Linked DNA regions of Schizosaccharomyces pombe. Changing the gene in region 3 together with the main gene of any one other region gives a genetic interaction. Each region holds a gene or a part of one and is shown on either strand. Other genes may lie near its edges.

Evidence for each region.
Region 1: mutations in air1 (region 3) and pfd4 together harm fitness more than expected from each alone (negative genetic interaction), as found in Schizosaccharomyces pombe (2 studies listed by BioGRID).
Region 2: mutations in air1 (region 3) and rpa12 together harm fitness less than expected from each alone (positive genetic interaction), as found in Schizosaccharomyces pombe (2 studies listed by BioGRID).
Region 4: mutations in air1 (region 3) and gid9 together harm fitness more than expected from each alone (negative genetic interaction), as found in Schizosaccharomyces pombe (2 studies listed by BioGRID).

The regions. Positions count from the first base shown.
Region 1 is NC_003424.3:501,696-509,767, forward strand, and holds pfd4 (prefoldin subunit 4), read left to right. Parts: upstream 1-4,213; 5' UTR 4,214-4,288; coding exon 4,289-4,660; downstream 4,661-8,072. Other genes in the region: rRNA processing protein Rrp15, read right to left, coding at 72-689; yea6 (NAD+ transporter), read right to left, coding at 1,283-2,398; atg10 (autophagy C terminal domain family protein), read left to right, coding at 3,358-3,897; yip5 (Rab GTPase-binding protein), read left to right, coding at 4,848-5,597; serine/threonine protein phosphatase PP2A regulatory subunit B-55 Pab1, read right to left, coding at 6,441-6,464, 6,508-7,790, 7,868-7,908, 7,953-7,996.
Region 2 is NC_003421.2:1,038,341-1,041,516, reverse strand, and holds rpa12 (DNA-directed RNA polymerase complex I TFIIS subunit Rpa12), read right to left. Parts: upstream 1,418-3,176; 5' UTR 1,385-1,417; coding exon 1,160-1,384; exon of another isoform or gene 915-1,159; coding exon 780-914; 3' UTR 501-779; downstream 1-500. Other genes in the region: Ino80 complex subunit Iec3, read right to left, coding at 4-143. UniProt on the Schizosaccharomyces pombe protein: DNA-dependent RNA polymerase catalyzes the transcription of DNA into RNA using the four ribonucleoside triphosphates as substrates. Component of RNA polymerase I which synthesizes ribosomal RNA precursors. Required for growth at higher temperatures.
Region 3 is NC_003423.3:976,579-985,560, reverse strand, and holds air1 (TRAMP complex zinc knuckle subunit Air1), read left to right. Parts: upstream 1-4,792; 5' UTR 4,793-4,980; coding exon 4,981-5,202; intron 5,203-5,251; coding exon 5,252-5,353; intron 5,354-5,408; coding exon 5,409-6,032; 3' UTR 6,033-6,203; downstream 6,204-8,982. Other genes in the region: SHREC complex ATP-dependent chromatin remodeller Mit1, read right to left, coding at 1-3,493; U1 snRNP-associated protein Usp103, read right to left, coding at 3,668-3,990, 4,050-4,265, 4,312-4,321; ilv1 (acetolactate synthase catalytic subunit), read right to left, coding at 6,443-8,452; nucleoporin, WD repeat Nup131, read left to right, coding at 8,929-8,982. UniProt on the Schizosaccharomyces pombe protein: Component of the TRAMP (TRF4) and TRAMP5 complexes which have a poly(A) RNA polymerase activity and are involved in a post-transcriptional quality control mechanism limiting inappropriate expression of genetic information.
Region 4 is NC_003423.3:399,783-408,634, reverse strand, and holds gid9 (ubiquitin ligase complex subunit), read right to left. Parts: upstream 6,102-8,852; 5' UTR 5,940-6,101; coding exon 5,712-5,939; exon of another isoform or gene 5,650-5,711; coding exon 5,128-5,649; exon of another isoform or gene 5,078-5,127; coding exon 4,613-5,077; 3' UTR 4,422-4,612; downstream 1-4,421. Other genes in the region: isopentenyl-diphosphate delta-isomerase Idi1, read right to left, coding at 958-1,184, 1,241-1,579, 1,644-1,767; SDA1 family protein, read left to right, coding at 2,214-4,373; tho4 (THO complex subunit), read left to right, coding at 6,286-6,330, 6,372-6,440, 6,494-6,618, 6,725-6,791, 6,952-7,470; plg7 (1-alkyl-2-acetylglycerophosphocholine esterase), read left to right, coding at 7,951-8,852. UniProt on the Schizosaccharomyces pombe protein: Component of the GID E3 ligase complex recruiting N termini and catalyzing ubiquitination of proteins targeted for degradation.

The DNA.
Region 1 (8,072 bases), on a different chromosome or scaffold from region 3:
AAAAGAAAGCCTTAAAAAACCGTGTTAAACTAGATCTGGGATAGTATTGCCCTATTTTGAAAGTTTTCCCGTTACTGGGATTTTATGAGGTCAAGGAAGCTCGCCTTTGAGAGCTCTTTGACTTTTTGCTCACGAGCAGTACGACCACCAGAGATGTTTTCTCTATTTAAAGAGCTTTGAAGTTGAGCAGTACGAACAGCATTGAATAATTGAACTACACCTCTGCGAGCAATACGGCGAAGCTCACGTTCATGGGTGAATAAAGCTTTTGCTGTTTCAGCGTTAACTGCAACAACGCTCGTAACACGACCAACCATCTCTTTTCTCAATCTTTCACGTCTTCTAGAAGTACGTAGTTTAGAGTCTTTTTTTTCCGCATTACTTTTTCGTAAAGCTTTTTTAGATTTTTTAGACAAACTTAGAACCGGCGTGTCTTGTTCATCAGTTTGAGTAACTTGTTGATTTAAGATATCAGCAATGTCATCAGCAATGGTACTTTCTTGAACTTCTTCTTCAATTTCATCTTCAGAACTATTGGATTGATAAAATTCGTCTTCGCTGTTCAAGTCTTCCAACTCTTCCTCAGAGTTTTCGCTATCATCTTTTACAAATTTTTTAGAGGAATCATCTTCTTGAGAGACAAATGATATATCTTCGTTTTTTATTTGAGATCTTTGTGATTTCGCCATTAATGTGTTGTTGTCTAAATTTGAAATTTTTTGACTGGAACCACCAAGTAAAGCATGGTCTCCAAAAAATGCACAATATCAATTTGAAGCGCCTAGTTCGTTCTAATAGAATAAAACTGATATTCTGTTTCTTTAATTATATAAAAAAAATTTAATTTTATTTTAGGTAGTTTAGTTCAATTTGGCGAACACTAAAATATTATAAATTTGCTCAGTATAATAGGAATGGGAATAATTGGAAATTTCTGACCAAAAAAACACTAATAAAGCTCAAAGCTTGATACGTTCATGCTTATGACCACGAACAGGGGCTACTCGTATTAAAGTAAAATAAACTAGAATGGGTTTCATCCAGTCTCAAAATAGGGCTGGGCTGGTAACACAAGAAACAAATGCTTAATAAAAGGTAATTATTAAATAAATATTGATGAGAGGGGGTAAGAATAAGAATTAGGAAAACCTAACAGCTGTGAGACAGTAATAATTAATATTAGAAATCATGCACACATCTCAAGGAAACTGATTAACCTTGGATTGTCGTTAAAAAAATAAAGACTTTGATCGTTTTCTTGAGTATATACACAACGGATAAATTAGTTCAGCCATTTGCGAACAATTTCGAAACTGAGGAAGGTAACCGAACTGGCAGGTATGGTGCGTATAAAATTTGTTGCCATGCCAGAGTAATATTTTCTCCAACCCTCTGAACGCCATATGTCTCGAATAAGTAAGGTAGCCGAGTTGTGTGTAGGTGCATCCAAACTCTGCAACCGAGTTCTCAAAACTTCATGAGGATAAGTGACGGTAGAAGCTGCGATTTTAGACAAAGTAGCTGCTAACACTATATGAAAGTTGCTTTTTTTACCAAAAAAATCATCCAAAAATGATTTAAAATATTCGTACAGTGGAAATTGGATGCCAACATGCAATGTACCAAATAAAGAGGGGAAAAGACCTCGGTAAAATGCTGCAAGGCCTTCGTATTTATAAATTTTTCGAAATGCGTCAAATGTGTTGTTGTATGCAGGTGAACATGCAGGGCCTGTGGGAGGATTCACTGGATGCTGTGATGGAGAAGATTTGACATTCGTCCTACGCTTGAGCCAAAAGCGAGGCATTCTCCATTTGACGGATGGTGCGTCCGTTTGAAGATTACGAAACTGGACGGTTGTAGCCGCAGCAATTTTATCTACAAAAGAAGAAGCCCTAGGATGTGATTGAGTGACTAACCTTGTTTTTACAACCCAAATGGGGTTAGTAAGAGTGACACTTGCAGCACCGGCGATAACCGCAGAAAAGATTTGACCACCCCAGTAACGATAAAATTGTTTGTCAGAACTATCTAAGGAAGCCTTGATGCCAACCTTGGACGAATCAATTTCGTGGAGAGAAGTGTATTTTTTATTTACCCCAAATAGCACTTTGCATTTTTCATAGACTACAAAATAAATGGACCAACTAGGAAGATAACCTAACATCATGGGTCCAACACCTCTATAAAGACCGGCGATGCCTTCATTGTGAAAAATTGTTCGCATCGAACTGAGGGTCCCACCCAAAACCATTGTATTTTTTCCACCACCAGTTGAATAAAAAGCCTTTTGTGCCTGCTTTCTTGTTTTTACTACATCTAAAGGTGCCACTACAAGAGAAGAGGCCAATCCAGCAGCTCCTCCTGCTATAGCATCCTTTAGAGAATCATCAACCATAAAGACGGATCAATTTCCTGATGATAATGCATGCATCTAAAGAAAACAGCAATTAAATAATAGACCTTGACAAATTCTTTACTTTTTTAGACGCTGATAAGAACGATCCAACGCCTTACGATGTTTCAAATTGGAAATGTATATATATTTTAGCGTTGATGTAAGAAGCTGTACAACAACATATATGTAAGTAAAGTGTTTGGCAGCCGTCAATAAGAAAGTCGAATCACTGTGCGGTAAACCACATTAACGACATGAATGTCTCCGAATTACTAATTGAGAGGACGTTCCATGCCCTTAAAAGAGAATTTCTTTTATATGTGCATATCAGATATGATTAAAGTCGTAATGCCCATTAACAATATATAATGGTGACATTGATGTTGCTAACAGCTTTACACACATATCTCAATTTTACTTCACAGATCAGTTGGCTTTATAAGCACCATTGGAACAGTGCTTTTGCTTTTGCTTTTGCTCGTATAAGTATTAAGAGGAAATTACTAATATAAAACCTTAGTTTTTCATTTTTTTCCAAGTCCAAACATATTGTTTTTATACATTAGCTTCTCTTGATTACCGCCAATTTCTAGTCGAAAAAATTATTTTTTTAAGAAATCCTACATTTGCTGAGAAGAAATGTTGAAAACGTAGTAACTACACAGTGTACCACTATATTGTTGGATAACTTTGTAAACTCCAACGTACTGTTTTGTCATACTCTTATTGTCAACTTTAGAAGCAAGATGTAGAATTAATATACTTGTAAATAACTGAAACACCATTTTTGTCGAGACTTAACTTCAAATATATTGACAGGTGATTGCCTCTATTGCCCTCATTGGAATAGTGCGTTGAACAATCAGACTGTAGCCAGGCTTATGGGACAATAATTCCTTCTTCAATTACTTATTGCTTTAGCAAAGATAAAGTGATTAAATTGGCTAACCGTGACAATAATGAGCTTTAAGTCTCAATTACTTATCCTTGCTCAGAAGCTGTCGAAAGGTGGTATTTCTTGTGAGTTGATTGAGTTTGATGAGTGTATTTTGAAGTTAGAATGGCATACTGAGCTACTTGATAAAAATGATTCCTTATTATACGAGCAGGAAGAAGATGATATTTTAAGCCTTATGAATCCAATGATCACTATGCACGCCTGGATTAGGGATTCTCCATCCTTCGAAGTCCCGCAGTTCTTCTTTCAACCTTATGCAAACGGATCAGATCCTCTTACCAAGATGGAACAGATTTTTGAGTTATTAGAAGGATCCAGTCAAAATTTAGCATATGACGCTCTTGCTATTGGGGACTGTCCAGGTACAGTAGGCATAGCATGGTATATCCATCCATGTCGTACGCGTGATTATTTCGAAATGCTTCAGATAGACAAAGAGGATCCCAAGTATCTCTCTCTTTGGTTGCTATATATTCATCAAGTCCTTTCTCCGCTAACTCAGCCTATAATAAAAGCAGTTGACGATGCCGAAAAATCCTAAAGATAACCTGTTATAAACGGGTATGCTTGCTAAGACTTTGTCTTATTAAATATTATTCCCCATGATTAAAACTAAATTAAAAGTCAATTTAATCCGTATTCTCTGGTTTTAGTTTATAATACCCTGTGAATCTATAGTAAAATTTTGACCTGTTATTTGACAGCAAAAACATTACGGATCTGAAGACCTCAATTGTAGAAAATAGCTTTTGTTCTTTAAATTTGTAGATAAAATACTATACTAATTAATAATCCTTCTGTTTTGACATATCATTCAACTGTTCCACTTAAACCTCTACTTGACCGCATTGATCTCTACACCAACAATTGTTTGTTAAGACAAACGAAACCGGGTTATATACTATTCCTCCTAACACACCTTAGCAACAAATATGGAACAAGTTCCTGTTCTAGCAGAAGATCAAAGGAATTTAAATGAATTTTCAGTGTTGCATTCTCGAAAGGCCATTCAAGAACTTGATATTAAGAATTTAAAAACGCAAATAGAGGATATTGTTGACGCTAAAAATGAATGTGAATTACTAGACGAGGATGATGGAGACGATATTCCAGCTTTAAAGGTTGGCGATGCCTTTTTCCAAGTTTCCCTTCCTGTACTCCTTGACCAGCTTGAGCAGTCAGAAGAAAGTTTGGAAAAGCAAGTCGACGTATTAAGATCTTCCATGGAAAAAGACGAAACCCGCATTCAAGAGTTGAAATCAATGCTGTACTCTAAATTTCACGATCAAATTAACCTAGACTAAGATTTGGAAAAAGCAGCAAATCTCAAAATTAGAAGCTTCATCTTATTTTTCTGAATTAGTTTCTTTAATTAAATAACATTTCATGCATTTAAATTTATTCACAATACCAAATCTGTATGCAATTAGCGCCTCCAATAAGTAAACTTCTTTGTTCACCCTAAGCCATTACAAGTATCCAACCACCACTATGGCACATGAGATTGAAATTGACTCGGAAGCTGACCTAGGTCGTACAACATTTGAGGCTGAAGACCTTTATAAGCAGAGAACTCCCATTACAAAGCCTCCGGCCCCTAGATTACAATCTCGTCGCGCATCCATGCAAGAGACGCCATGGACCATCAAAGATTCATTTAACGTGGAAACTAAAGATGTGGTTCAACGATGTATACATACTCTTATTCCCACTGTAAATTTCTTTGATGTTGTAGATGATCGTCCCGATTTATACGGTCCTTTTTGGATAACCACTACGGTTATACAGGCTCTATTCTTTTCCAACTCAATTACCGAATACGCTCGTTATGCCACAGGGCATGGTACAAGTGGCTATTCTATAAAAAAGTTGATCTCTGCAGCATCAATTATTTATGGTTACACTACCATTATCGCCGTTTTGTTATGGGGTATCCTAGTGTGGAACAAATGCAACCCTAAGTTACTCGACTGTCTGTGTTTATATGGATATGCTAACATTGTTTGGCTTCCCGTTTCTTTAGCAACTCCTCCGTTTGGATTGCTATCTACTTTGGCCTCCCATATTGTCAAATATGTACTTACAGGGATTGGTTTGTTAATTTCCATTGTGTTTTTAACTAGAAATTTATATCCTATCTGTCAGCAAGCCGGATCAAATTTGTGCAAACTTTTATTGTTCGGAATTATCGTCTTTCACTGTTTGCTCGCTTTGTCTCTTCAACTCATATTCTTCAGTTAATATCCTAATTTGTGAGGAGTTTCTTTTATCAGTCGCATTGCTTCATTCGAAAATTATACTATTCCCCTTCTTTCATTCTTTAGAAAAGTCATTCAGCATTTAAGATCCTATTGAGTCTAAGTGTTGGTATACTCTATATGATTCAGTTTATACATATATTCGCTTTACATTTGATTTTCTACTCTTTTTACTATAGCTACTAATGTTCCCTCAATTTACTAGGTTTTTTTTTCAGGTGCAAAATACGTATAAATAATCATTTCTTATGCATTGATGAATCATGCCTTAGTAAAAATAATTGTAGCCTTTTTAGTGAACCAAAGACTTTATGACATTTAGTCATATTTTTGCAATCGATCTCCCGTCATTTATATAGAAAACTTAACACATTATTACTCGTTGTTCAACAAAAAAGAGCTGAAGGTAAATTAATGGTGAAGCTTAACCTGAAAAGTACTTTTACGATTTCAAATTCAGATTTTTTTCAACAAGAGAAAAAAACTTTGTGAGATATTGAAAAAACGTTGAAATTTACGATGCATCACCACAATTTCAAGATTAAAAAGGAACACGTAAAAAGAGAAAAAGAAAAATACTGTGGATAGCAAAGTACATATGTATCGATTCACGGCATACATGAAGGGAGATAAACAAAGCACCCTTTTATCATTAGTCCTAAAAACTTTATTTCTGTCATTAATGGTTAAAATGGTGTGTGTATATAAGAATACAATCTGAAAGAAGAAGGTAAGAAAACTCTTATTCCCGGAAGTTCAATAAAAAAGGAACTATGTTCAGTCTATCCGTAGATCATAAAAACAAACCAAACTCCACATAAGGACATTAGAGCTTAGAGAAAACAAAAAGCTATTGAAACATTAGTAAACAAAAAGTTGATAAGCAAACGTACATTATTAGTAGCGGCGATGGCAACTGAGTCTTCAAAGGGATGCCAACTGGCATGTAATATCTTCTTATTGTAATCCAGGTTATCAGGATCAAGGCCAACAGAAGCAGATCCCATCGCAGCTTGAGGTTGTGACCGCCAATCATTATTTTTCACAGCATTCAACTTTGGAACGTTATTTGCAGCAGATTTTCTGGCTCTAAATGCAGCCTTGTCGGCTTGCAAAACTATCTGTCCTCTATCGCCAGGCAAAGAACTATCTGTGGGGTAAATCCCAAAGTTGTTGCTATAACTTCCTGATAAAACGTGTTTGTCGTCACCAGAAAAGGTACACTCGAATTTATCAAAAATACAGTCATTTTCATAGAGATCGCATAACTTTGATCGCAAAACATCATGCAATGGAATAGTTTTAACGGGAGCTTTTTCCATGTTGACATCCCATATCTTAAGAGTTAAATAATCTCTTGAAAGAATATAGCGGCCATTTTGTGAGAACTTAACGTCTGAAATGCTAGAGATGATTTCAGAAAAGAAACTCTTGGAATCTTGATCTTCTTGATCCTCGAAAAGCTTACATGGATTATCGCAGAGCGCAGATTGACGCAAATCTAAGAGTTTGATATTTCCCTTGCTGCTACTATACATGAGATGATTGCAGTTTATCGGGTGAAACTCGGCACTAGTAATAACTTCCGTAAGTTCTTCCATATTTTCAGGTTTAATGTCAACTATGTTGAATGAATGATCGGAGATGGACAAGTTCCATAAGTTGATACGTAAATCATCAGCGGAAATGTAAGTTTCTGCATCAGAGTTAACGCTAATCGAATTAATATGATATGCGTGTGCATTAGCGTAAACACGTCGTGGATATGCAGCGATAATCATGTCATGATGGTTGAGTCGTGGGAGTCGAAGTTGCGAAGGTGTTGTCAAAGGTCCTTGCATAGGACTGTGGAAACTGTCCGACAAATTATTTTCGGCAACGACTTTCAAATTCTTTTCATATAGTTTCCACAATTTTATAGTTTTATCATTCGTTGAGAGTAAAAAATGCGCTCGATTAGTCCTCTTGCACCAGCGAATTTTATTGATCTTTTCTTCGATTTCTAAGGACTTGAGATAATCAAACTCGGGTTCATGACTTTGAAATTCAGTAAAAAACTTATACTCACAACCCTTTTTCGAATGATTTCGCTCAAAAAGAACGACTCTGCCACCTTTATCGCCGGTTGCTAGATAATCACCTGTGTGGTCGAATTCTACTGCTGAAATGATATCGGCTAAACTTGTTAGTCATTTATTCAGTGATTAAAGTAAAAGAGAACTCTTTTATGAGAGAACTACTCAAAACCAATACCTTCAGTGATGTCTTCCACATCACCCTTGTCACCAAAGCATCTAAAGAGTTAGTCATTAATTTTTTTCACACATCGTTTACATACTGGGCAAATTTCCACTGATCCAAAGAGTCTTCTATATCATCCATCTTCTACTCGTATTATATTAAGATTTCGTTCCCGTTGGTACACTTTGCCAATTTCAATTGTATACGAAGATCTTGA
Region 2 (3,176 bases), on a different chromosome or scaffold from region 3:
TACGCATTTTCTAATAAAATTCTGCGATAAACTTCTGATATTTCAGCAATCTTTTGTTCAATTTCCTCTGTTTCAAGGACTACCGAATCAAATGACTTTCGAAGTTTTAAATATTTTCGTTTAAAGGATTTAACAGACGCCATATGTGAAAAGGCAGGTGAGAATATATTTCAAATGGTTGAACACCTACCTGCCCATTTGGGCTCTTGAGTGTTACGGTACATAGTACGCTCCATTTCGTTACACATTCATTTCCATATTAGAGAAAAAGAAATAAATAACCGATATACTACTATTCATAAAATGCTGATAAACATTGAAACTCAAACTCTTTAAAAATTCTGAGAAAGGAAGTATCCACAGGTTCAATCGTGATAGACAATGAATTTTCTCTATTTAGTTTGAACCAGGAAAGACAATAATGAATAAAGGAATAAGTTATACCATATTATTTTTTAAACAAAAAGTAACCCCGAAAAATAGAACCAACAAGAACAGAAGAACTGTTATTTTTTTTAACACCTGGATAAAATAGAAGACAAAACAAGAAAATCGGATATCAAGAGCATCTCTTTCTATTTCATGAACGTTGCCGTATTACTAGACAAATAAAATTTATCGAGCATGAAAATAACGGAAGCAGAAGGACAATCGAAGATATTAAAAACAATAGTCTTCATACAAATCAGTCAGCATACATACATGAAGAACGGCGTAAGAAACAGTGAAATATTGAGAAAATCACAACCAAAAGAATGATTAACAGATGAAAACTCAATCTAATTGTTTGTACTAAATTTATAAGCACATCGAGGACATTCGTAAAACACCGTAGAACCTTCATCAGCAGACCTCAATTGCAAAGTATGGAAAGTCATATGGTCGTTTCCACATTTTGGACATTTTTCCTCAATCTACAAAACTTTGTTAGTATGGCAATAAACCCAAAAAAGGACTATGATAAAGTCCTTTGCCTGACTGTGCCGATTTTTCAATTCACTGGATATATGATACAAAAAAGTTCCTTGATTAGACTCTCCTAATGCATTCTTAAAAAAAAAAAAGTTTTCCAAATGATACAAAGCCTAAAAGGAAAGAAGAATGACAACCAACATGAAAAAAAGGATTCGAAAAGAATAGACAAAAATAAGTTACATACCGTTGCTGCCTCCTCCTTCTGAGATTCTACTTGAACGATACTGTGCTTGAGTTTTAAAGCAGAAGGAAAAGCACTTGCACTACTCTTCGTTTCCACTACCAAATTGGCAAATTGCTCAGAAGGATAAACGGATTGACACTGATCACAAGTAGTCCATTGGGCAGTAGTCGATTCCAACAAGTTACCGCATTCTGAGCAAAATATCAAAGACCCTATTGCCGACATTGGGATTCCTCCTTGCTTGATGGGGAAGGCACTGGTGTTTATGACAAGCTAGTTTGTCTTTGACAAGTGCAATTTTCTTTCGCTGTAACTCATTATTTTGCGGTAAGTGATGGAAAAGCGAGTGTATCATTATCGTAAAAGCCAATACACACTGTGAGCGACTATGATCAGTATAGTGCCTTAATTAGTAAACAATAAGCTAGAGATGAGTAAACGAATTTCCTGATCTATTGATGAACATTATGCTAAAGGCATAAATTACAGACATTTAAAAATCATTCGTTTTTGTAAAGAAATTACTTATTGATAAATCAACCTTGGAATTCCAAGTTGGGGAATTTAAAAAGCTTTCTCGGGAAATTTCACCTATATAAGTATTGTATCGTTGTTTCTGGAAAAAATTCGGTAAGAAAAATTTCTTTGTATTTTTTCAAGCATCAACTAATTGTTTGAAGCTATTTCTTGCTACTTTAAAATTTTGTTGCCCAAACGATTTTTGTCTAGCTGGGCAATACTTTGTTCAAATACAAAGCCTGTCACGGAATACAGAACAAGATTTGTGTACATATATACTAGCGACTTTCAAAATCGTTGTACCTTATAAATTGTGCTTTTGATTATTTAACAAATTCTTCCTTATCTCAAAAGAAAATTATTTTGCTTGATTGAATCATCAATTTGGAAATCATATTTTGCACTTTAGGTATTTTAATCGTAATTTATGTGATAAGCTTGGAAATAATAAAAAATATAAGAATAATAAAAATTTAATTTGTCTGTACGTTGCAACTATTACATGTACAACAGAAAAGCGAACAGATAAATAACAAAATGCAAAAAAAATACTACTAAATAAAAGAAAAAACAAATAAATTCAAAAGATATAGCATTAATAAGAAAAGAGATCACCAAAAAAAAAAGAATCATATTCACGATTTCAATAAAAAGGTCTGTGTATTTTCTACAAAGGATTTGGCATTATACTTACTATTATGTGTTTTCCACTACTTGAGCGTTTCAAATCCATTATGGTTTTGAAAGCGCCTTTGTCTATAACCGCCATAACCCAGTCCATCTGTATAGGGCTCGCTTCCGTATTCCTATATTATGCAATGTAAGGTTGATTTTCTATTTTGGTAAAACAGAGATGAATATGGCATGTTTTTACTAGTGAGATTATTGTGCTGTACCCGACGATTGACAACAGTGGGACTTGTTTGCTCTAGTTATTTAGAAGCAAAAATTTTTTTCCTCATATCTCTCTCTCTTTCTGGGGTAGTCCTTTTTGGAAGAGTGCAACGTGACATAGTCTATGGGATTGTAGGCAACAAAAATGTATAGGAAGAGTTATTGTTGCTACATAATGGAAATTACTTAGTGAGTACCATATCTTGTCGGTGAAAATGGATATTTACTTTGCCGATCATTGCGTAGCTCGGTTTTTGCCAAGGAAAGAAACAAGTAAACCAGTTTGGTAAAGAAAAAGGATGATAAAAAAGGTTAGAGATTTTAAGCGTATCTAAATAAAGGTAAGATACTTTAAAAGTACGTTAAAATCTGTGTCTTGTAAAATTTCCATTTGTAGAATTGTTGCATAAGGATGGAGTACCACTGCTTTAGTATAGTTATACGTAACCATGAGTTGGTTGTCTGTAGGACATAGCGAGAAGATTGAAATTGCTATACGTAGTATTTTAGTGTTTTTGGTTAACTTGTTAATAGACGTTTTTTTCTATTCTTTTTTCTCTTTCGTTGCTTAGATGATTAGTGAGTTGTTCATTGCTTTCTTTGA
Region 3 (8,982 bases):
TATAATCAGTATCGTCGCTATTATCATAAATATTTAAATCTTCGCCATAATGGATTTTGTGGTGTGCACGAAGTCTCCTGTTGGAAGTTGTTTCGTCTGTTTTTTCTAGCATTGCATCCTTCTCTCGTTGCTTAAGTATTACTGACCAGACATCTTCTTCATCAACAAGAACATTTTCTTTGACTTCATAATGATTGGAAGATATATGTTTGTTATCCCAAACACGAAAAAAGCCAAACTTATTGCTTTTTATATCTGATTCATCAGTTGAAGTATCTTCTTGTTTCTCAGCTTCTGAGATAAGTAATTCTACCGAATATTCATTATACTTAATAGACGGTTCATCACCAGCCTCTTCAAATAATGCACGAGCCCCATGCCGCAAGATACTTTCTAAATCTTTTTCTGAATTATGATTTTGATCCAATGACTCAACAATTAAGTGGTCCAATACAAGCTTCTTTTGAGCGTTTTGAATGATTTTTTCCTCTACAGAATCTCGAGTAGTTAACACAAAGACAAGTACCTTTTTTTTTTGCCCATATCGATGAGCCCTTGCAATCGCTTGCATGTCTTGATGAGGATTGAAATCAGGATCTAGTATAATAACAGTGTCCGCACTAGCTAAATTGATGCCAACTCCACCAGCACGGGTAGAAAGTAAGAAACATGACAACTCAGAATTAGGAGCATTAAAAGAGTCGATTGCTGACTGCCTTTCCATTTCCGATGAGGCGCCATCAAAACGTGCATAGGCTATGTTTTTATATTCAAACCAATCTTCAAGGATATCGAGTTGCTGGATAAATTGAGAAAACAATAATATACGATGCCCGCGAGTTATCAATTTCGGTACCAATAAGCGTAATATTAAAAACTTACAGCTGGCTTCTTCCAGTGAACGCATAGCAAGTTCATACGGGAGATTACGGTCTTCAATATCTGGTGAATAAATGTACGGATGAGCTAATGTTTTTCGAAGTTGCATCAAAATGTTGTTCAATGAAGTAGTCCTTTGCCCTCCAGAAGAACTGGTATTAGCATAGCCGGTAATATTACGTAGCAAAGACAAATTTTTTGAAAGAATCGATTTGTATAAACCTTTTTGAACAGGTGTCATGGACAAAGGAATAATTACTTCAACCTTCGTAGGAAAGTTATCCAGTACTTCGCTTTTCACTCTTCTTAAAAAAAACGGCTTTAAGATTTGATGAAGTTCAGTCACCTTTTCCGTATCAATAATGCTGTATCTTTTTTCAAGCTCAGCAGCATTTATTTTCATGGGATTTAAAAACTGCAGTAAATTAAAAAGTTCCCGAACATTATTTTGCAATGGCGTCCCGGTTAAAAGAAGCTTAAAGTCACTTTTAACCGAAGAGAGGTAATAAAAGAGGGAAGATTGATCATTTTTTAGTCGTTGTCCTTCGTCAACAATTAAAACTTTCCACTGAAATTTTCGGAGCAATGAAATTTCACGTTCAACATTTGAAGCACTTATAACGAGGACATGAGTGCTTACATGTTTTGGGTCTTTTTGATTGATTAGACGATAATCACGGACTAAACTTCTGTTTTTTTCAGAGCCCACGAGTACATTAATTTGTAGAAAGGGAGCCCATTTTTTAAGCTCTCGTTCCCAATTTGCAACAGTGGCATGAGGGACAATAACCAGTACCGGGAAGCATTTATGTCTGTAAAATAAAACACTAATGAAAGATATTACTTGTACAGTTTTACCTAAACCCATTTCATCAGCTAAAATACAAGGATGATGTGTGTACCATCGTAAATAAAGCCAGTTCAGCCCTTTCAGTTGATATGGCATTAGTGTACCACCTTTGATAAAACTTGGTTGAGAGTGCCACTCAAGATTAGTAAATGGTAAATCAATATTTATCGAAGCTGTAGGGGCTTTTTCGATCCATAGACATTCCAACAAGTCCGAATACCCTTTTAACCACGCTTTCCAGCGATTTCTATCTGTTTCTTTAGGAGGTGGTTCCCAATTTGACATATAATAAGTTAAACCACGCCAAGAAACAAAGGCGAATGTAACTTCAGAAATTGCCTTCAGTTGATGTTTTTTTGTTTTATATTTTGCCGTTCGAGCATTCTTTCCACTTCTATATTGAACATCCCAAACCTTATCGATTATTGTATACGATACTGGAATAATGGGCTTAGTTGCGTCGTATGAGGCATTCTCCAAACCATCGAAATTTTTCTTTTTAGCTAATGAAATACCGGCTAGCCATGAAGCAGAACACCAAAAACAGTGAAGGTAAGACTTACCTTTGCTTCGAACGAAATACTCTCTAGACCAAAAGCTCAAGTCCGATGTACTAACAAAATTATTTGAAAGGGTAGCTTTTGAAGGATATAAACTGTTTAGAGTTCTCCAAGCAATTATCTCTTCAATATCACAAGGATGCATAGAACATTCATTACAAACAAGTTTTTTTATAAAATGAGTAATTGTTCTCTGAATAGACAAAGGATTACTGTCCAGATAAAAAAAATATTCGACACGCCTACATCGAAAACACCGAAACCTTATAGACTTGCAGTAATTGACTAAAATTGACAGAGATTCCCTATCAGCAAGGGATGGGGGGATAACTAGATCCTGTCCAGAAGAAACGCCTGAAACAAACCCGGTATTACACAAAACGTCCTTAGAGTTTTTGGAACATAAAGGACATATAAAACCATTTTGCTGAGAGTAATTACGCGTTTCTTTATTTAAAGAAGGGAGTGGAGAACAGTCATAGTGGTATACATTTGAGCAATGATCACAGTAAACAAAATTTTTACCAGAGGAACGATGTTCACGTCCATGACATTTGACACATACACAGACGTGTAAAAATTTGATAAAATCAAATCCGTCAGAGTAAAGAAGTGAGAAATAAGGAGCTTTATTATCGTTTTCTGTGGACTCAATTTCCGAAGAACTTAGATCGGAGCTACCAAAGTCGGACGTGTCATTGAAAGATAAATGCGACAACGATAACTCATTATGCTCTTTTCTATTAACCTTCTTATTTGTATCAGATGAAGATGAAGTTGCACTGTCAGAAGCCGTTTCATCACTGACAAATGAAGGATTAAGTGCGCAGTGAAATTCCTTTCCGAACTTAAATTTCTTGGTACGTGTTGAGTCCCTTAAGACTTTACTACCATTAGACTTCAGTAAATAATCATTTTTCTCTTCCTCATCCTTATCGGTTGAAGTCATATACCCATGGTACCTCTTTCGAGATTTGTGTTTTAACCATACTCTTAAACAAGCTTTTCCATTTTTATATTTATCAAGTTCATCTTTTTTTATCAATGCTTCAACACCCGCCAAGAATTTAACACTCAGTGTGCTGTCATTTTCGTGCAGTATTTTTTGAACGGTGGTTTCAGACGCGTCATAATAAGGTAGTAAAACATCAAGCGGTTCACGACGTACTACTATTTTACATAAAGAATCATCTTCTTTTGGCATGCTTTGAGATGAATATCTAAATATTCTTGGTAAATACTGTGTATTTGGAGTTGTCCTTAAATTTCACTACGTAACGCAAAGAGAAAGAATTACCAGTAGTAAACGGTTATAAACAATAGCTATTATACAGTACATTAATAGTAACAAACAAGTTTTAATCTTTTAGATGTCATTTTAAGCACGTACAAACCTTTGATGACTTCTTTGACCCTGATGGTGGGTTTTAGTAAAATGGTTATTAGCATTCGAATGAGTACGCGCGCGTTGATGTTCATTTGTCTGAGGAAGAGATTGCTGCTGTTGTGTAAGTTGAGTGTTAGAAGAAGCTGTAGTCTGGGGAGCTGAAAAAGCTACTTGGTTTGTTAAATTTACAGCAGGCATCATAGGGACGAATGCAGCAGCATTCATAGCATTCATTCCTTTAGGAGCCATATAGGTATTTGCGGATACAATGTAGGGCGGTGGTGGACATCCTAAGTTAAAGACATTATATTTGGCTAAAATTCGGAATATTAGACTTCGTATTCAACAAAAGTATTATAAAGTAATAACTTACGAGGAAACGCATAAGCATAAGGAAGGTCTAGCGAACCATTCCCCTTTTTTAAAAATCCAGAGGATGCCCTTTCTTCAAGTTGTTTTTGGGCTTCTTCTTGAGCTACTTTCGTATAGTAGTCCTGAACATTTTGTATATGGGCTCTTCCAGCATTGTGTGCTTTTCTAACTGATTGGCTATCATGAGTGAGCCAAACTTGGCAGTAATCACACAAATCTAAGCATTAATTAGTTTTCAATTATTGTTATTCATCGTATCATACATCTTGGCATTTTAGCGTGTTTGGCTGTTGTTGAGTCTTGTAATAAATGTGAGCTGTGTTGAAACGCTAAAATGATTTAAAAAGAAATTAATGTCAATTAGCAACAACTATACAAAGAACGTTCATAGTTAAACATTGAATGTTAAATTACTGTTTATCTATGCTTTACAAAGTGTTGAAACGAAGCTCTCGAATTTTCAACTACTTTAAAATCCAACGCCTTGAAGAGTCGGGAAGGTGCAATCATTTAATATTTTAATATAATTAAGTTACTGCTGTACTTTCAATATCTCTTCACGATCAGGGCTTTTAAGTACCAGACATTCTTGGTTATGCATTAAGTGTTGCATTTGAGAGAACAATTGTAATTTGGAGTATAAGTTATTTATTGAATTTCATTTATTGTCATGCTCATTTCAATGAAATAAACTTCTCATGAGAAAGCCAGATATAATCCATGTAAGGTGAATACTCACACCTTAACCAAAAATTTTTTGCCTTTACTGAAACTATTAAATTTCCATTTGATAGTTAAATACTTGAAGTGTTTTATGTTTTATTTGCTTTTAAACTGTTAAATTGATTGGGAATATTGTGAAGTAAACTACTGGCCGGCTGTTAAGTGTTAAAGAAAACTGTGCTTGCCATTATTACATTGCTTGTCAATATATGGACATGACTGTTTCAAACCAAAAAGCAGAAAGTGATGATGGTTCAGACATCGACGATGCGGCCTTGTTACAAAAAATTAATTCTTTACCGATTGACCAGAGTATCACAAATTCGGTGAGCTTGGAAAAGCATGATTTTCAAGGAAGTGATGACCATGACTCCTCTACGGATCTTTCCGATAGTACTTTGGAAGATGTGGAAGGAAGTGAATGGGCAGACGTATGGATTGAAAAGTTTTTTTTTAATACTTTTTACTAATAAAATTTAGGTGAGCAGGGGTAGATACTTCGGGTCAGATCCCTCAGAAAGTATAGTTTGCCATAATTGTAAAGGGAATGGTCACATATCTAAAGATTGTCCTCATGTTCTGGTATGCATTTTGATCGGACATTGTTTTTTTAATAGTGTTACTAACTGTATTACAGTGTACGACTTGTGGAGCAATTGATGATCATATTTCCGTAAGATGCCCCTGGACTAAGAAGTGCATGAATTGTGGACTACTGGGTCATATAGCTGCGCGATGTTCGGAGCCGCGAAAAAGAGGACCTAGAGTTTGTCGGACTTGTCATACCGATACTCATACTAGTTCGACGTGTCCTTTAATTTGGAGGTATTATGTCGAAAAAGAACATCCTGTTCGCATTGATGTTTCTGAGGTTCGAAAGTTTTGTTATAATTGTGCATCTGATGAACATTTTGGAGACGACTGTACTCTTCCATCTAGATCAAATTATCCTGAAAGCACTGCATTTTGTGAAGCGAACTGTCCTTCTGGAAATGATGCATCTAACAAGGAGTTTTTTGAAACCCGTCGTAAAGAGTTTCAATTGGAGAGGCGAGAGCAGAATCGAAATCAAAAATCGTCGAAACAACGGCCTTTTCACAAACCAGGAAATTCTCTAGCATCTAGGCTGGGATCTAAGCCAAAAAGCTTTAAAAGAAAACATAGCCCACCTTCTGAGGAGAATGGCAATTTATCCTTTCATTCTTCAGATGGAAGAAAATTTACCAAAACTTCAAAAAAAAATCGTAAACGAAAATGGTAATTCATGTGCTGGTATTATTCATCGCATGGTGTATCGCTCTGCTCACATTGCATTGCACTCATTGATAATACTATCTTACTAAAATTTATTGGCAAAATCTAAAATATATGTACATTAATTTTATACACTCTCATTTGCTATGTTCGCAAAATTTGTAATGTTATTGACCTCCATCATCAAAATTAAATACAAGCTATGATAACGGAGTAAACCATAGTTAGAAAGCAAAACAAAAAAAAACAACCAAAATCGAAGATAACAAGGCAAAACAAACAAATTTGCTTTAGGGTAAATAATGACAAACCGCCCACCAGAGTCTAAAAGAATGTGACACGATAATTAACGCAAGTTTAAATAAGTGTTACATCTGACTCTTACAAAATAGCTGTTTTTAAATTAATCAAAAAAATTTATGAAAGGCTTTCATGCAAAATAAATTGGTGAAGAGCCTTACCACCAGGGACAAATGGATACACATGTTCCTTTTGGGCAACCAAAACTTCCATAAGCACAGGACCTTTAGTTGACAAAAACTCCTTCATTTTTTTAGCCAAATCTTCTCTCTTTTCTACACGTAGTGCTTTGATGCCCATAGCGTCAGCCAACTTAACGAAGTTGGGATTCTTTTGATGAGTATGAGAATAGCGTTTCTCATAAAACAAGTTTTGCCATTGAGTGACCATGCCTTGCTCTTCATTATTTAGGATAAGAATTTTAACTGGGATATCAAATTGACGGACGGTAGCAAGTTCCATACCAGTCATTGAAAATGAAGCATCACCATCAATATCTATAACAATATCTTTAGGTGCAGCAACGCTAGCACCTATGGCAGCTGGGAGACCAAATCCCATAGTACCGAGACCACCGGAGGTTACCAAAGAACTAGGTTTTGTCCAACGATAGAATGTAGCGGCCCACATTTGATGTGCACCGACACCGGTGGTAATAGTGACTTTGTCCTTTATGTCAGAAGTTTGTTTGTCAAGTTCTTGAATGACTTCTTGAGGCTTTACCAATTCACCAGGAGCGCTACGAGTGAAAGTGAAAGGGAAGCGTTCCTTCCATGTTTGAATTTGAGATAACCAGTCAAATCGGGAAGGAATTTTAATATTTTTAGTAGCAGAATCTAAAAGCTTTAGAGATTCGTATACATCGCCCTCTATTGCTTCAGTAGGTTGTACGACCTTACCGATATTTTTGGGTGAAATATCAAAGTGAATAATACCGCCACGCTCTTCGGCAGCAGCAAGACGTGCTTGAGGAGCAAACAAACTTACGTTACCGGTGACACGGTCGTCAAAGCGAACACCAAGAGCAAGGATAAGATCGGCTTCCTGCATGGCCATATTAGCGTATCCACTACCATGCATACCGAGCATATGCAAACTAAGGTCAGAACGTTCATCTACAGCACCAAGTCCAAGCAAAGAAGTAGTAACAGGAATTTGCAGCCTTTCGCTAAACTTGCGTAACAAAGTGGGGCATTCGGGATTAGCTAAAACACCATGCCCACAGAAAATCACAGGCTTCTTGGCTAATTTTAGTAAATTGGCAACACGATCGATCTTGGCAGTAACGTTCTTGGAGCCCTCTTCTAAGACTTCCTTCATTCTGCGATTCATTGATGGTACAGAAGACAGTATAGGAATGGGCTCCTTCAAAACGCTAGCAGTGACATCTTTGGGAAGGTCAACCAATACAGGGCCAGGGCGTCCAGAAGTAGCTATCTCAAAAGCTTCGTCTATACGACGGGGAAGATCAGCAACATCTTTGACCATTACATTCCATTTAGTACATGAACGAGAAATACCAACCATGTCAGCTTCTTGAAATGCATCACTACCAATTGCGCTGGTTGCTACTTGACCAGAGAATACAACTAGGGGAGTACCGTCGGCCAATGCATCAGCAATCGGGGTAATCACATTCGTAGCACCGGGTCCAGAAGTAACCAATACAACGCCGGGTTTTTTAGTAACGCGGGAATAAGCTTGGGCTGCATGTCCAGCAGCTTGCTCGTGTCTTGGCAAGATAAATTCAAAATGAGGAGATCTATAAATTGCATCGAAGACAGGCAAGATAGCACCACCTGGATAACCAAATACATGCTTAACATTATGCTTGAGCATCATATCATGGAAAATTTCACCCCCAGTCTTTCCAACAAACGAGCTGTCATATTTTATAGGACTAGCCGTAGTCACTGTAGAGGTGCTTTTGGTCGAATTTGCCCGAACGACACCGAATGCATTTTTTAATTTTTTAATTCTCAAATTATTACTAAAGCCGGTGCCATACCTCCGCACAGCTGAGCAACTATTTAAATTTAAAAATCTCTTTTGAAGGGCAATTTCTCGTCCATAAGACGAGAAAGCCGCCCTCGTATGCAATCTTCTAAGGGGAGCCAGCACAGTCATTATAAATAACTTTTAACCCTCAATTCCTTTCTAGAAAGAGCTATCTTTCAAGTTGCAAAAGATCGGTATGCTGAGCGGTATGAGAAGTGAGCAGGTTCATTTTTGCCTAAAAACATTGGTTGTTCACCACCACAAAAAAGATCAGATTTGTTAACGATAAGTACTGTACCCCGGAGATTAAATATACCGATGCATAATACTATACCCTTTGAAGTCGTGTTATTATTCTTTAAAAAGTTCAGATGATGTAGGAATACAATTTATCTATTTATCCATGTCTCCTTAATTTTTTAAACATTAGTAAATGCTGGAAAACGTCAAATAAATTTTTCTTGATCCTAAATTATAAGTTTCCTATCGATTCAGCTTAGAAAATCGTCAGAATTATCTTTGAGCATAATCTGTTTAACACGTAAGAGATCTTAGATACTTTCGCTTTTTTAAACATTAGTGAGCCTCTTATTAGAGGAATTGCAATGTTTATTGTACATCGACGGTTTTTTCAAAATGAAAAAGCTTTTACGCCTGCA
Region 4 (8,852 bases), 580 kb from region 3:
TAAATTTTTTAATATTAACTCTTTTTTTTAAATAAAAAATTTCTTTTACTCAGAAACATCATAAATTCAATTATTATATCTTTAATAGCGAAATATTGTTCCAGTTTTTTCTCACGGTTGAATCGCGATTTACAATTATGATAACAAATCAAATAAATTCTATTTACGTACGAATAAAAGGTTAACGATTGTCAAATATTAATTAGAAATTTTATCAGTTCAAAAAATTGAAACCAGGTAGTTCCTATTACCACATTACTGTTATTTAGTATAGTTGCATGCAGAATATAGCTCCCATTCTTTTTTAAAATTCGGGGTTTCTTTTATAAAATGCTGAGCATCTTTTTTACTTTCAAGCATCAAATTTTTTTTGATGTATTTTACTTTCCGTAAACAATAGTACTCCAATATAAACTGATTAAAGTAACTTGTACGGTATAAGATTTAAGCATTTGAAGGGAATTTTTGTGCGAAATTGAAGCTTGATGTTAATGTTGGTAAATGTAGTGTCAATAATAAATAAATAAATAAACTACATATATAAAACATGTGTCGCAATGTGGAAAACAAGGTATAACCCTGTATCCTTAATATTTTTGAATTTACAGTTTTTATTTATTAGAAAGGATAGCATTCAAATTTTTTTAATAAACAAACAAAAAAATTTTTAAGAGCAGCCTTTAAAAATACATTTACGAATTAACGGTTCATTTACGCAACAAATAAAAAAGATAAGAAAATTGTATTTACAATATGCTCTTGGAGACATTGATGAAGTAAAAAAACTGAAGCAAAAATTTAAAGAACGAAGAAGTGTGGTGCAAAGAAATTTGGAACATCTAATATTAACTTTTCCACCCAAACAAATGTATGCTTTGAGCAACAAAAGGAGAAAAAGGAAGCCATACCACAATTCATAGCTCTATTTTTCTTTATCTCTGGTAAAATTTAAAGACTTTAGCAACGATGAATTAAGGTATCTTGGAATTTTGACGCATGATCTACATCCTGCCACCATTTAAACATAAAATGCTCACAAATAAGTTTGAACCATGGTGTGAATCCATATTGAGGATCGGAAAACATCTCTTTTAACTCTTCCATAGTAACATACTTATAGGCTTGAACTTCATTGGGATTGATATCCAGCTCAACTTTACCTTTGAAGAAAAGAATGTAGTCAACTAGAATGTCCGTTAGTCAAGTGTTCAATAAAGAGAAACACGGATCAACCACATACTTTCATGCTCTCCCCAAGCACCAGTACTAGGAGCAAGGTAATGGATTCGTGTAAGAAACTGAAATTTGTCTTTGGGAATATACTTGGCTTGAATACCCAATTCATGGAACAGCTTGCGTTGAGCTGCATTCTTAACACCTTCAACAGCTTCAGGTAAAGTATTACCACGTTCACCAGCAACATCCAATGGGTGGGAGCAACATGTATTCGTCCATAAGGATGGAAATGTAATTTTCTCTTCTGCACGCTGCTGAAGTAAAAGGCGATTTTGCTCATCAAAGATGAACATAGAGAATGCTCTATGCAAAAGACCTTTATTTATATTTTCCATCAAATGACCTAAAAGGCTTGTTAGAATGGGTTTCCTTCAATTTCATTATAAATCTCCAACAATCAAACATACACTCCTTTTTCGTTCCATATCTTAAAGGGACATCATTTTCATCTACAACGATACAAACTTCTTCCATCAACCTTAATTGTTCTTCATCATAATCCTTTTTCTCTTGTTGGGAACTCATAATCATAAAGTAGGCAAAGAGCAGGTACTTTATCGCTGGTGCAAAATATTGCTTGTCTATAACCAACCACAACAACACTAATTGGAAAACAAGTCTGATTCACTTAAAGCAAGAATTTTTTTCTTTCTGTTTGTTTTCCTAAAGTTTACATAAGTATTATTGAAAATTTGCTTCTTAGCTTAAATTTCTACCGTTAATTTTTTTGTTTCATTTTTCAGTTATAAATTGTGATTGCAATATCCCATTTACTCGTCTATCACTTTTTTTAATAGAATTGATTAATACTTATTAAAAATAAGCAGTCTATATTGCTAGACCTGGGCTTGCTGGTTGTTTATTATATCCCGGTTAAAAATTTTTTTAAGGGCTTTTTTCGCCTGTTACTGGTATTGCTACACTAATTGATTATTTGTACTAGTTTATGATTTATATTTTCACAAAGATACATTAATATGGTGAAAAGACGCACTGCTGCTGTTTTACCTAACAATCTTCCTCATCTACAACATCTGGTCAAAAAGGATCCAAAATCCTACAGAGAAGAATTTTTGCAGCAATGGAATCACTATGAAACCGCGCGCGAAATTTTTCTTGTTAATCCATCTTCAGACATTTCCGAATTTTGTTCATTAATCGATTTCATTTCCCAAACTTGTAATTATTATCATGATGTTACTGCCGACTTTCCTAGCGAATTAATTGAGCTATTACAAAAAAACCACACAATATTCCCTTTCGAACTTTGTGAAAAAATCGTTTTATGCCTTGTTCTGTTAAAAAATAAAACAGTAATATCTCCTATTACATTACTACAATGTTTTTTCCCGCTTTTCCGTGAAAATCCTACTCGTGGTGTTCGCGAACTTTTGTATCAACAGGTATCTCTCACCATTCGGAATGCCAATAAACAAGCCAAAAATGATAAGTTGAATAAAGCTGTTCAGTCTGCTCTGTTTACTTTGGTTGACGGTTCGGGTAGTGGTTCAGCAACACATACTGATTATTCTGGACAAAAGCGAGAATATTCAGCAAGTGAATTATCAGGTGTTTGGGCTGTCAAAATGGTTCGTGATTTATGGAAAAGGAATGTTTGGTCCGGTGATGCACGTGCCGTAAACATCATGAAATCTGCCGCACTATCATCAAACCCCAAAGTTATGCTTGCAGGGATTTACTTTTTCTTAGGTGCTGACAATCAAGAAGAGGAGGAGGAATCTGATGATGAGGGTCCAGATGTTTCCAAGCTTTTGCATCAAGCTAATGTAAATAAAAAGACAAAATCCCGTGAGGCTGCTTTGCTTCGTGCTCGCGCAGTTGTAAAGAAGAAAGAGCGAGGAAAACAAAACGTCCCCACAAACGTTAACTTTCCGGCTTTACAGCTTCTTCATGACCCTCAAGGATTTGCCGAAGAACTTTTTGAAAAGCACTTGGCTAGCTCAAAAAGCCGTCTGTCAATGGATCAAAAACTGGTGGTCCTTCGACTCCTTACCAGATTGGTAGGTTCTCACAAACTTACAGTCCTAGGTCTTTATTCTTTTTTAATGAAATATTTGACACCCCACCAGAGAGACGTTACTCAGTTTTTAGCATGTCTCGCTCAAGCTTCCCATGAATTCGTACCTCCAGATGCGCTTGAACCGTTAGTTAGAAAAATTGCCGACGAATTCGTTACTTCAGGTGTCGCCAATGAGGTTGTTTGTGCTGGTATTAATGCTATTCGTGAAGTTTGTGCTCGTGCGCCTTTGGCAATGACTCCCGACCTTCTTCAGGATCTAACTGAGTACAAATCTAGTAAGGATAAAGGTGTTATGATGGCTAGTCGTAGTCTCATCACTCTGTATCGTGAAGTTGCTCCCGACATGTTGAAAAGAAAGGATCGTGGTAAGCTTGCTTCTATTGAGATGAAAGATCGTACACCTTTGAAGTATGGTGAGGAGTTAAACGTCACCCACGGAATCCAAGGATTGGAACTTTTAGCTCAGTATAAAGCTGAACACGGAGAAGAAGGAGAAAATGGAGACGATTGGGATAATTGGGAAGTTTCAGAAGATGGACAGAATTCTGATGATAGTGGTGGCTGGATCGATGTCGATAGTGATGACAATATTGAATTAAGTGACAGCGATGAAGAGGAAGAGAAGGCCACTGCAAGAAAAGAATCAGATGAGAAAGGATCTTCTTCACAAAAGGAACTAGTTGATAGAATGACCGAGCTTGCGTCTCAATCTATTTTGACACCTAATGACTTGAAAAAGTTGGAAGAGCTTAGGGAGCAAGCGGGTGTTGATCGTCTCGTCAATGGACCTAAGCGTTCTTTAAAGAGGCCAGACGATGCCGTTGAGGCTGATGAAATTGAAGGTCCTAGAAAAAAGGCTAAGAACGACCGAGAAGCCCGTATTGCTAGTGTCATGGAAGGACGTGAAGGACGTGATAAATTTTCATCTAAAAAGGCAGGTTTTAACCCAACAAGTCTTTCTAACAAAAGAAAACAACGTAACAAGAACTTTATGATGATTAAGCATAAATTAAAAGGTAAAGCTGGACGAAGTCTTGTTCAAAAGCAAAAAGTTTTACGAGAACACGTAGCTCGTGAAAAAAGGAAAATAAAGTAAGATATTGATTACTATATTCGGTTTATGCTTTTCCTTTTGGGGCATCTTATATAGGTATATTTAATTAGGTTTTGGGTTTACATGATTGAGGGATAACCTATGGTAAAGGTGGATACTGGAAGTGAATTTAATAATATAAATTACTATCATTATTAAAGATAAACATATAAATCTCGTAGCGTCATCATAAAAAGTGTAAATCCTTAACTCACAGAAAATGCGTTATAGAATAAACAGTATCAAACCACATAAACTTTACGAAGAAGTTGGAATGGAAACTCTTTGCCAGAATAAGGGTCTCTAAGAAATCCTTCTCTAGTCCCATTAGCTTCGTTCCAACTTATGAGGCTCTGGATACCATAAACTCGACCGTTCGGGAAAGCAACAGGACAATTGTCGCTGTCAAGTCCTTCGCCTGTCAGAGAATCCACTATCGCAGACTGAGTAATATGGGCATAAGGAAGAGCTTTGCCAAGGTCATTTAAGCAGGGCGTACATACAGGGCATTGTTTCACAGTCTGGGATTGTAATGCTAAAGGATTATCATCATTCGCGTCAAGATAACACAACGGGGTTTTCAGGGAAGATAGACCAGCAGCTAACAATGCATGTAAAAGAGGTACAGACGGTATATTATGAACGGCAGTAAAATTGCTGGTAAACAAGGAAGCCAAATATTCCCATCGGTCATCGGATAGAAGCAACTAATTTGTCAGTATAAGCTAAGAGCAGAGGTCTCTCAATGTAAACTTACCGAATATGGTGAACCATTCGTAAATTCAGGAAAAGCTAGTAGGGCAGCCGCTAGCTGTAGTCGAGCAGGATGTTCATTTGCCCAAGTACCGAAGTGCGCTTTGGCGAATGCAATGGCTTGGCAAAGTTTTTTACTTTTTATTAATTCTATAAATCTCTGTAGTCGGACCTCAAGCTCTAATGTACTATTATTTTTTTTTAAAATTGCTCGATGCTCCGAACACCAAGACAAAACCTCTTTGAGCTCCTGTTGAAGAATGGAATCGTGAATGAGCTGATAACGCTTATATATGCCTAAATCAACCAAATTCTCCAACTGAGAGTCTTTACAAAGTAGAGCAGCTGCCCCATGGTACCCATTCGCCATCATATAATCAGCAACTAAACGATTCAGTCTGACTCTTGACCAATCTAAAAAATCCGCAGATTCCATGTCACGAATTCCTTGAAGACGATTCATGAACAACAGTCGTGACTTAGTTTGCTTGATAAACAGAGCTTCACAATCATGCAAATGCTTCATCTACACAAAGAACCATGTAAGTTACAAATATCCAACTCAAAAAAAGAATCAATCAAACTTACCTTCTTCTTTACAGTACTGACTCTTGAAAGGAGAGAATCTATTTTTTCTATTTTTTCATCCATTGATGCATTCTCTTGACTGATCAACGTTGTCAATGTGGAATTGATCACATGCGATTCATGCTCCAAGTGCCGCAAAATGTGTTTGAAGTTAATGCGCAATTGCTCAAAAGAGAGAAGAATACCAGGCTTTTCAAGTATATATTGCTGCTCTGGACGAAAATTCATGTTTGAAGGCAAAGTCTAACAAACTATTGGTAGATGGACCCAAAAATTTAAATCAACTAAAGAATATTGAATATTTTAAGAATAAGAAAGTAATTAGAAGAATTTGTTTAAATGTAAGGAAAACAGCAATTGCAGAAAGACGATGGGTTGTTGGCGAAAGATACACTTTCTAGGACCGTAGTGCAAGATGAATGAAAAATAAGGAGAGCTAAAAAACAATAAAAAAAGAGGTGCATATATTAATTTATGTCAGGAAAATCTGCAATTGGTATGGAAATCTCCTTTTTGGAATGCCCCGGGTTAATTTTTACCAGTCGACATTTTCGTGCCAAGTACCAATTTTCAAATGTCGCTGGAAAAGTCCTTGGACGAAATTATAAATGAAAGAACGGTAAATTTTTTTATTTTCGATATTTGTTTTAACAATCCTAGAATGGTTTTGATCACAAGCACAGTCGGCGAAGGGGATCTCAAAATCGTATTTCCAAAAAATCGCGATTGGTATGCTAATTTCGAGGATTAAGTGTTTATTTACTAATTTTTTACTTTTTAAGACCTACAAATTCAAAAGAGCATCAAAAGAACACAACTCTAGTCCAGACGATGGCCCGTGGCAGCATGACTTGGATCAAGAGCAGGATGCTCATCCAAGGACCACTCACCTACAGAAAAGACAACAGTATGTTTTGAATTTATAAGATAAGCTGTAAACTTTTTTATTACTCTATTAGCTCTTAGTCTACATGCACTGTTATTATCATTATATACTAACACAGCAATCTTAGCTCAGAAAATCGATTTGGGGTTCGTGTGGAAAACTTACATTATCAGGTTTTGGAAAAAGATGTTTTGGTAAGTGATATATGTTTACTATGTTTTCAAAAGCCTCGCTTTTAGTTTTCGATTGAAGATTATGAAACGAACCTGACAAAAAATCTCCCTGTCAAGCTAAGTAGAGCTTTGTTCCGATTTCGAATCGCTTTTTTTATTAATAAACTAACCTTTTCTTAAGTCTTTGTTTGAAAATTTCCATCCAATTCGCGTGATTATGAACTATGATCGTGCAGGTCGCTCTGAAGGCTCCTGCGATGTTTACTTTGAAACTTCCCAAGATGCTGAAGATGCCCAGAAGACGCTTCAATCTACGAACTTGAAGGGCTCCGAAATTCAAATTTCGAAAAAGTCTCCACCTTCCTTATTCGATCGGATTTCCGACATGCCACATTCAGCCCGCAAACCAAGCCGGTCTTCTCGTTCGAACCGAGGATTCAACCGTTCTTCAAAAAAAGACGACAGATCATTTCGTTCTTCTTCAAAAAAGTCTTCTAATAATTCAATTTCACACGAAGATTTAGACAAAGAACTTGACGAATACGCAATGTCATTTCACGCTGCTTCAACTGTGTCATCTCACTCATCACAGGATTTCACACCGTCAATAGCCAATGCTCATGAGAAAAACGAGCCTGTTGCTCCTTCAAAAGATAGTAATTTGACCGAGGAGATGGACCTCCAAATGGAAGCGGTTTAAGCTCGAATTGCTGTGCAAGTAACCCTTTTCCTATGCCAAAAGTTGATTATTGAGTCAATTGCTTTGATTTGTACATTATAAAAACGAACCGGCTAAAAGGACATCTTTCATCATAACCCCTTACTTTATATATAGATGCTCGTCAATTTCCATCGTCTTCCTTCTTCTACCACAATCGTACGAATCGTACCAAAAATTAAAATTTGCAGCAGACAGATTCATATTACCTTGCAAGGCCAAAAATTTATTAATTTTATTTTTTTTATTTATGTTTATAAGTGCTTGTTAACGAAAGAGATATTTTGTTTTTGTTTCTGGCATTATTCCATTCTATTCCTACTACAGTGATCATAGCAATTAACAATACATCATCACTGTGCTCTTGTAATTTGATTGAATCGTTTTTGACACAATCTTTCATTCTTTAAAATAAAATAAATTTATATATTTCTACATTACATTCTTATTTGTTAGGTAGAAATGGGATTGGGATTTTCTTCGAAAAAGCAATTACCTGCCTACTGTGGTCCCTTGCCTGTGGGGTCTTTAGTCTTAGAGCTGAGTGTTCCAGAGGAATTTCGATGTGAATATAAAACCATTGAACACAAACTAAGAACCGTAAAAGTACGCATTTTTTATCCATTGGACCCAACAAAAGATGTAGAGCCTCGCACCGATGAGCTTTGGTTACCATTCCATGAGGGTATACCCGAAGTTGCGAAAGGTTTTCGTTGGTGGCTTCTTCGTGCGTTCGCTTCTGGTTTGACCAACTTAGCTTTGCCCGTCTACAAAGGAGAGTTGTTTCATCCACCGAACAATGGGAAACTGCCAGTATTTATCTTCAGCCATGGATTGGTTGGCTCGAGAAATGTGTATTCTTCGTTATGTGGTACAATCGCTTCCTATGGTATCGTCGTCTTGGCCATGGAGCATAGAGATAACTCGGCCATCATATCTACAGTGCGTGATCCATTACATCCTGAAGAACCCCCGTACGTTGTTCAGTATCGCGAGATAAGCGACTTTTATGCAGACGCTACGGTTGTGCTTCAGAATGAACGACTTTTATTTCGACAGCAGGAAATCCAAATAGCCCTCCAGATGATTCGAAATATCAATGACCTTGGAACTCCGGACGAAAACTTACCCTTTCTTTGCTCTGTGGACTCTTCTTTTTATAATTCTGTTTTCCAATCCATGAAGGGTAATTTGAATACCGCTCAAGGAGAATTGATTGTTGCTGGTCATTCTTTTGGTGCCGCTACTTGCGCATTCATTTCCGGTTCTTCTACCAAGTCCTTATATAATGACTATATGTTTCACACTGAGTTTAAGTGCTCCATTTTATACGATATATGGATGCTTCCCGTACGCCAGCTCCA